Linked DNA regions of Caenorhabditis elegans. The protein of the gene in region 1 interacts with the protein of each later gene in a biochemical or structural test. Each region holds a gene or a part of one and is shown on either strand. Other genes may lie near its edges. The genes, in order: rhi-1 and cdc-42.

Region 1 (4,938 bases):
CCAAGTTGAGGAAATTCAAAATGGATCTTGTTGGCTCTTCTGGCCCAGCACCGATAAAATTTCCAATTTCATTAAGTATTTCCTAATGGAGCAAGAAAGCATGAATTTCTTCAGACTACACCCACACGTAGTGGTGTGATTCGATAAATTCTTTTTAATTTACGGCAGTAAGTTTTTGCAAAGATTTTTGTAATGGTGATCATCATTTAATGTCTTGAAAATCAATTTTCAAACATTTTGCACGAATTCAATTTACTAATCTTAAAGTAACTTTAAAAGTTAGAACTACATAGTAATTTTGAAAGTTAGAACTACAGAGTAATTTTAGGTAACACACGAGTACCAAAAATACTTAGGTATTCAGTAAAAAGATCTGAAAATTTGCTACAAAGTTTCTGGTAAATTTTTTTTTAAGTTTGGATTTTTGTGAGAAAAGTCTATTCAAATTTTTTTGACTTTTTATTACGAAATTAATTTATTTTAACACATTTTGGGTTTATACGTTCAAAACTTCCAAACCGTTAGTACTCTTTTAAATTTTCAAAGTTGTAACGTTTTGTAGTTCAATTCTTATTGTATCAAAATAAAATCTCTAATTCTGAAATTAATACAATGTTCCGGCCCAGCTGAAACCACGTGAATATTGCGGAACAACGTGTAAATGCGTATTAGGATCTTAAGTTTTTGGAAACGCAGCAAGTTAGTGTTTTTTGGTTAGTTTCCAACGTTTCACAAAACAGTACACTTTGTTTTAAATGATTATGAAATATCACTTTATATATCATTTCAATTTGGCGGGGAAAGGGGAGAGGCATCACACAACACAACTAGTGCATCAAAATCAATAATAACCATAAAACAAGGAAAACATTTGGGGTGGGCGGTAAATTGGAGAAAAAAGTCATTTTCATTGAGAATTTGAATATAAATATGAGGTTCAGTAAAGGCGGAAAATTATTCTACTCCTTGGTAATGTGAAGGGTCCATTGCCAGTCAAGATACACATTGTTGTCATCGTCGGTAATTTTCGAGTACACCTTGTACTTTCCACGATGCATCATTCCAGACGGAGCTTCTTCGTTTGGTGATTTGTACTCCTGAATCTCAAGTTTTGGCGCGTAGCTTCCCATCATGTACTTCTCATTCTCCACAGTGATACCGGATCGTTTCACCTTATGTTTGTAGCTGAAACAATTTATTATTTTAAGTTAAGATTAAACACACAAAAAAACTAACTGCAATCCGGACGTAATTTCGCGTTGCACATGGAAAGCAAAGCTTAACCGGTAATTGGAACCTTCTTTGATGGAAACAGACAAGTCAGAGTTGACAAGTTTTGCTGGATCCGATAAGTCAAATGATTGCGCAGTTTTACCATTAATGAGCAGCTCGACGGATCGGACAATCACGCGGAGTGGGTTCTTCTCGTCGACAATGACTGTTCCTTGGCCGAGAAGTTTGGCTTTGTACACTTTTAGAGACTCGTCCTCCTGTAAAAATTTCATACTAAAATGTGATTGTCATTGGATTTTTATAAAAGTTTATTAGGGTTAATAGAGACCAAAATTGTGGCACATTAGGAAAATTCACAAAATGCCCTTTTTCTCATTGTTATGTTGAAGTTTTTCGCTCGGAAATTTGTATAGAAATGTAACAAATAGGGGTGGCTATAGGTCGACCTAGGTCGACCTGCGACCTAGAGGGTTAGGTCGCATCGCGACCTAGGTCGCATTGCGACCTGCGACCTAGCGACCTAGGTCGCATTGCGACCTGAATTACCGACATTTTGTTCTCTTTCGGTTTTGATTCACTTGAGTTGTTAAAATCCGTATAACTCGAAAACTAAAGATTGCAGAATATGTGTATTCCACTAACATTTTCTCTATTAAGATTTTATAAGTTTATGCGTAGTTTTTTTTCAAAAGTACGGAACAAAGAATTCATTTCTACAAATAAAACCATGCATTTCAGCAAATTGTTTCAAAAAGTTCACGTTTTTGTGGTTTTTGTTGTTTCTAAAATTTCATTTTCCACTTTTCGAATTAAAAACGTAGAAAAAAGCAGAAAATCCGGCGGATGTCGGCTGTTCTAACTTTTTTCGACAAGGTGTCTTATGGATAAGAAATCGAAAACAATGTAAAATAAATGATTTGTAGCAATTTGTTAGTATAAAAAATGTCAGTACTTCAGGTCGCAAAGCGACCTAGGTCGCTAGGTCGCAGGTCGCGATGCGACCCAGGTCGCGATGCGACCCAGGTCGCTAGGTCGCAGGTCGTAAAGCGACCTAGGTCGCTAGGTCGCAGGTCGCAATGCGACCTAGGTCGCTAGGTCGCAAGTCGCAATGCGACCCAGGTCGCTAGGTCGCAGGTCGCAATGCGACCTAGGTCGCGATGCGACCTAAATGAAAACAGCGACCTAGCGACCTAGGTCGCACTCTTGCCACCCCTAGTAACGAATATATGCATTTTCCAAAAATAACTCTCCTTTGTATGAAAAGTTTTGGGAAAGTGTTCAAAAACTATCTCAAGGAGGAATATACAGATTATGAGACAGTTTTTGAGAAACTTATCAAAGCTATCGTTGTTTTTGGAAAATACACATATTTCTATATACATTCTCAAAAGAAAACTTTGACACAACAATCAGAAAGAGGTGATATTAGTGTTGTGCCGATAACATTTTAACGGCAGTTCTTTCTACTAATAACAAGTTTCAGGTAGTTTTCAACATCTTGTTAAGTTTTTCTACAAAAGTAAATTTCATTTTCAAAGAAATAAAATATTTTCTATATTTCAGCATTTACTTAAAAATATTAGATTGTCATACCAAAACGAGTTTGCCGGGGTGAATTGCCGCCCGTTGCACTACCTTTTGATTCTATTTTACAATTATCAAACCTAAAACTCGCAGAACACTGTAGCCTGAATGCAAGGATTTTGTGTTTTGAACGTAGCTTGGCTCGGCTTTCTTTGTTTCAATTAACTACTTTTTATTAATAGATCGAAGGCCAAAGCTGTCTTGTGATCAGATTCATCAATCCACATCCATTAGCAATTTCGCAAAATGTTCAATTTTTTTTGTTAAAAATAAATTTAACAAACCTTGTCAGCATTGAGAAGCTCGTCGATGCTCTTTTGTGGTGGTTGCTTGTACTGATATTCGGAGGTGTTTTCACCAGTGTTCTCGTGGTCAGACATAATTCCGCTGAAAAATGGGGGGTAAGCGCTGTCAGAAAAAAGAAGAAGGGAAAGAACCAGAATATTCGAAAACCCAAGAATCGAAGAATTGCAATTATGAACGACTTAAAGAAATGCGAATAAAAATGCGGCCAAAAATGAGTGCCTACGACAAAAACGATTCTGAGGGCAAAGACTCGAACGGTCGAAACCAAAATCTTGCGACAAAAAGAGAAAACGTCCAAAAAAAATAATGGGGCAAATGGGCAACTGGAAAAATACCGGAAAAGAAATTTCATAATCAAACCGAACAACCTCGTTCGAGACAAGAAGAATTAGACAAACACACGGAGAGGAGGGCGAAATGGTTGAACAATGTCAATTTGTTATCTATCCCACCGTCTTTTTCTACTCCTGTGTGGTTTTTCGTCTCCGCCTACTTTTTCTCTTCTTCTTCAAGACAAATTGTTGGTAAAACAGATTTGTGAAGCTTTCTTCTGATGCGATTTCTTTTTTTTTTTTTGCTGGCGTCGCCTATATCATTTGTTTCCATGTACAAGATGGAAAAATCCAATTTCTGGATATATGGGAAAAATACTAAAATGATGCTAAAATCACTAAAAAATTAAAATAAAACTATTCAAAATAATTTGGAAATTTTTTTTATTTCGAATCAAAAACCAGTGAAAACTCAGTTCTCACCAATTTTTTGAATGTCGTTTCTGATTTGAACAGTTCTATTTTTCAGAAAGTGGCAAAAACTTATGCCACTTTTTGACTGACCTTTTTGACCCTTTAAGCATATGCGTATTGTCGAAAATTGACGAAAGAAAACAAAAAAACAAGTTGCCTTAAATCAGTCATTGTAGAAACATATGACATACTGGAGGAGCCAAAAATTCAAGTGATGAGAAGTAGAACAAATGCAACGTCAAGCAAAATAGTCTTCCCTTATCAATTGATTCGTTACTCTGGGAATTTAACAAATGACTCATCATGTTGCTTGCCCAAGAACAAGAAAGGAAGTCGTGCTGCTGAGTAATCGAAAACATTAGAAATTAAACAGAATGATAAATTTCAAACTTTAAATGAACAATTGATAGATTGAAGAGCGAGTTAAAGAAATAACGCATATCATGTCAAGTATTAGGAATCTTCTCGCCCACTAAGAGAGAGAGTCACAAACAACAGACAAATAAATACAGTTCGAGTATGGGTGGATAGTGAAATGAGAGAGAAAAAAGTAGAGTGAGTGACACAAATGAAACACACTCACACTCACACACACACATAAACTTGTGTGTGTGTGTGTGTGCGTGGAAAAATGTTTGTGGAAAACCGAATCGTCGAGGGAGTGGCGCAAGGAAATCGCTGATGGTGGGCGATGATGGTGGTGGAGGAGGACGAGAAGGTAAAAATGTCAAAATCGGGCATTCTAGGGCACCGCTGTGCACTGATTGCGAGGAGCAAGTGAAGCAAAAGCAGTGCGAGAAAATACAGTTCTCGTTTGTTTAAAGTATTTGAACGCGGTTAGTTTTTGGCTGGGAAAGAGAGAGAGAGAGAGAGAAAATCAAAAAGCCTAAGAATTGGACTAATTCAAAAACGTAAAATTGGAAGTGTTGTGAATTTTAACACAGATATAGTGTGGCACAAAATAATTATATTTTCGAAAATTAAAACTTTAAAACAATTCAGTTCCACACCTAAACAAGTTATTTCCACACCTCGGAAATAAAATTGAGGTGGTTACTAATGGGAAACA
Region 2 (4,454 bases), on another chromosome or scaffold:
AAATTATTATTTTAAAAATGCATGTGACAATGAAAATCGAATTTTTTTTTCGTTTATAAATTTTAATTCATCAATTTCGGACTGAAATTAATTTAAAAGAATAGCGGAAAGCATTTAAAGCAGACGAAAAATGTTTGAACATGTTCGAATTTCTAGTTTTCTGCGAATACCTAACGAGACCCAACAGTTTGTCCGTAAAGCGCGATTGCAAACGCGCTTTCAAAATGAGCATTTTTCTGCGCTTCCATAATAAAAATTAGAATAAAATTGAGCAACCCATATTAATTGTTTTATTTTCAGTCTGATTGTCTACTTGCTGGTCTTCGTTTCACAACAAAACATTATAATGATTCAAGTACTCCAAAATCTCTTCGTCATTTGATTGAAGTGAAATAATTTCATTTTTTGTCAATTTGTTCATTAATTCTAGTCATCCTTGCCTCTATTTTATGTTCTCTTATCGTTTCTAGTTGAAGCCCATTTCCTCATACACGGTGATTATGTTCCTCTCCTCGTCAAACAGTACTTTTTGTCAGTGATAATAATTATTTTTCGTTCCAATTCACCCACTCATTAATTATTTTTCTCAATGCCTTATGGTTCCGGTTCTTCTTTTTCTACAACACCCACTTGTATACTTTTCAAGATCTTTTATAAACATCTTAATTTTTTATATCACACCTTTATTGTTTTGGATCGCAAATATATAACAACAATATGTAGAAAAATTAAAATACAGAGTTGTTCTGGAGAAAGGAGGAGGGAGACACAAAACGTAGTGGATGAGAAAACAGTTTAAAATGGGAAATGGATGTGTGAAGGCAGAAAAGCACAAAAAAAAGGAAAGAAGAAAAACAAACTGGTCGGTATTTTTGAGCAGCAAATGAAGAAACAAGCGACTCGGGATGTAGTTGGTTGTGCTATACAACACCTATTATATAATTATAAAAAGAACCATGGGAAAGGAGAAGGCGCATTACGTAACGGTGTATCCGGACTATAAACACGTTTTGGGATAAAAAAGAAAATAAAAACGACGACGAAAATGTTAAAGAGGAGGTGTCATTGAAAAGAATGATAGTTAATTTGGATGAACTTTTAAAAATTTTCGAGGGGATTATTCGATAAAAATTCGAAAACAGATGAGAAACTATAAACTGCCCTGCTTATCGAAATTCTATACGAAACAATTAAAAAATTCTGGAATCATGCTCATCGAGATTCTACTGGATAAGTTACAGGAGACGAATTGAAGAAAATCATCTTCTATGATGCTGTCAAAAATAACAGCAACCGCTTCTCGTTTGGCATTTTTCAGGGAAATTTAGAAGTATGAGAAGAGTGGAAGTCGGGGGCTAAGAAAATTTGGACATAGAAAGAAAAACACAGTCACAAAACAGAGGAAAACATGGAGACAAGGAAGACGTTCCTAGAGAATATTGCACTTCTTCTTCTTCTCCTGTTGTGGTGGGTCGAGAGCGGCCAGAATGGCTTCGTCGAATACATTTTTCAGTCCCTTCTGAAAATAAACTATTTAAACTTCAATATACAAGCGTTTTTAATCAACATAATATGAAAACTATGGTATTTTCAGCCGGAATATAGAGCATTTCAGGAGATAATTTTTTGCACAATAAAAACAGAATTCTGGTTGTTCGTTTTTCCCGAAAACATGACCGTTGCTAAATATAAAGCAACAATTTAACTGAAAAGTGATATTTATATTTTAAAGTGTCACGTATTTCCACAAGAGCCTCGTTTTAATATTTAAAAATTTATTATTTGATTAGGTTTCGTGGATTGGATGATATTTTATTTTAATGTTTCAATATTATCAATGACTATTTTGGAAAGAATGACTCACCTGCGTCAACGCTGAGCATTCAACGTATTTCACTGCTTTCAATTCCTTTGCCAACTTCTCTCCAACATCCGTTGACACTGGTTTCTGCTTGTTTTTTGCCAGTTTCTCGAGCATTCCTGGATCATCCCTGAGATCGACTTGAGTACCAACTAACAAGAATGGGGTCTTTGAGCAATGATGCGAAATTTCAGGCACCCACTAAAACAATTTCAGATATATAGAATAAATTCGAGAACAATATTTCTTACTTTTTCTCGGACATTCTCGAATGAAGCTGGAGCAACCACGGAGAAGCAAACAAGAAACACGTCGGTCTGTGGATACGATAGAGGCCTTAATCGATCGTAATCTTCCTGTCCAGCAGTATCAAACAATCCTAATGTGTATGGCTCGCCACCGATCATTACTGTGACCTGAAATTCGGAAATTATTTTTATATAAAATAATTTTTTTTTCTTAAACTTACGGCGTAATTGTCGAAGACTGTCGGCACATACTCAGAAGGAAACTTGTTTGTGGTATAGCTGATCAGGAGACAAGTTTTACCGACAGCTCCATCTCCAACGACGACGCACTTGATCGTCTGCATTTCGCCTGAAAAAAAAAATGAATAAAAGTATTAAAATTACGTCTTTATAGTGAAAAATACGGATGAGTCACATAAATGTGCACGCACACGTTTTAAAAGGAGAGATAACTAGAGAATGAAAACGAATTGCGAAACATCAGGCAGAAAATCAATAGTCTCTTTCGAAATGCCACGAGCGTTTCTTTACCATTGGGAGCAATAATTATCGAAGAAAGAGCAAGAAAAAAAAACGGTAAACGCCTTAATAAACGATGAAGAAATAAGGCAAAATGGCCAAAACAACTTGTGCGTATAATTCTTTAGATGAGGAATTTTGGCAATGATTCATCGGTAACTGGTCGGAAGTTTGAATCGGTTTTCCGTACCAAACAACTTGCATATATTTGAAACTAGTTATATTTAAGAAAAGGTACAAAAATAGGAATAATTCGACATGAAACACTGGAACATCTCAGTCAGGATTATGTTAGGGGAATTTGGAAGCAATGTTCAATAAAATGTCACGAAAATGATTTCAATAATTGTTAAACAGTCAGACAAACTTAAGCGGACCATTTTTTAAATAATTTAAAACATGATTGCTCCTTTCGAGAAAATTTATCAAATTAAAAACTGATAGGATACTTCGATCGTCTACCTACGTTTATTGATTAATTCTGCTCTTATAAATGAATAATCAATAATTAGAAAAAACAATAAAAGCCTGTAAAACAACGAAAAGCGTGAATGAGCTTTGTTGAACACGGCGAAAAAAGGAAAAAAAGAAGATGGTGGACAGTTTGTCGGCGAGCCTAAAGACGACCGCGACGCGGCCGCTCGCACTCATAGACTACGCTAGTGGTGAGATACGCAGAGAAAAAGACGAGAGAGTATTGAGAGAATGGAGACATCACTACATCTAACATAGGGTCGCCAGTCGTCACCGAATTATTGGATTCAAATTTAGGTCCCGTAACTCGTGAAAACTTATTAGATCGGTCAGTTATCTAGATAGAGTACTTGATTAGACAAATGATATCCCAGACTGGTCAGTTTCAGTCTAGAAATGACGCTGTAAACTTCGTAAAACCACCAAATAGGATTTCTAAAGTCATCATCTAGAATTTAAACTATATCTCACTTTGTTACGCTGTGAGGATATTATACATACATATTTTGTATGTAAGCTTAGTCTATAACTAGCGTAACCCGTTCCATGCTAACAGACGGGCGGCCATTTTAGTTTTTTATTTTTCCTGTGCGAACGATTGCCAGCCAGAAACTTCTTTCTTTTTTCTTGTTTCTCCTAGTGCAGAATATTTGTCCTCAATTTATAAATACCATCTCTAGAATATTAACTTCGATTGAATCCGTTGTGTTTTCCATTTTTTCTCAATTGTATTTCGTAAAATTAATTTTAAAATTGCCTTCTTTTTAATTTTAAGGTTTTATATTTCAATATGCTATTTCGTATTTTTTGTCTTACATTTCTAGATAGAATTCTAACAATGCTCCGATTGAATCTCACTCGCGAAATTTCTATTTCTCTTCTTTCACTTCAATCCAATCGACGATTCAATCTGCCCTAAATTTTTAGAATTGCATATTTTCTCTTGATAACTTCATTGTAAACCGTGTGAATTCCATGAAATTACATGTTCGTAATACTTTTCCCAATTAAAAGAAGAAAAATTTGGAGTTTCGATAACCGACGGCGCGTACTTCTCTTCTTCCTTATTGTTCGATCAATAGTCCCCCAATCCGGTTCCCTGCCGCGTCTCCTCCCTTTTCCGCGCGAGATGTGCCTGCTTTTCGTTCATGAATTTCGTTTACAACGTCATCAGCTCTTTTTCTGTATTCATTCTGAACACATTCCCGCCTTCACTCGAATTTACCGCCACCGCACACCTGTTCATCCCGCTTCTCTCACTCCCAAACACTGTTTGTTTTGTCGCTCGTGCGCCTGCACGCAACAGAAGGAGGAGGTTTCAAACGCATTCCTTCGCAAGTTTATATGATATA

The links.
Region 2: of the proteins of rhi-1 (region 1) and cdc-42, one has a biochemical effect on the other in vitro, tested with the Caenorhabditis elegans proteins (one study listed by BioGRID).

What each region holds. Positions count from the first base shown.
Region 1 is NC_003284.9:4,506,775-4,511,712, reverse strand, and holds rhi-1 (putative rho GDP-dissociation inhibitor), read right to left. Parts: upstream 3,205-4,938; 5' UTR 3,198-3,204; coding exon 3,102-3,197; intron 1,491-3,101; coding exon 1,237-1,490; intron 1,186-1,236; coding exon 960-1,185; 3' UTR 768-959; downstream 1-767. UniProt on the Caenorhabditis elegans protein: Regulates the GDP/GTP exchange reaction of the Rho proteins by inhibiting the dissociation of GDP from them, and the subsequent binding of GTP to them.
Region 2 is NC_003280.10:7,614,456-7,618,909, reverse strand, and holds cdc-42 (Cell division control protein 42 homolog), read right to left. Parts: upstream 2,459-4,454; 5' UTR 2,454-2,458; coding exon 2,331-2,453; intron 2,278-2,330; coding exon 2,113-2,277; intron 2,063-2,112; coding exon 1,865-2,062; intron 1,520-1,864; coding exon 1,430-1,519; 3' UTR 665-1,429; downstream 1-664. Other genes in the region: R07G3.8 (CYRIA/CYRIB Rac1 binding domain-containing protein), read left to right, coding at 301-396.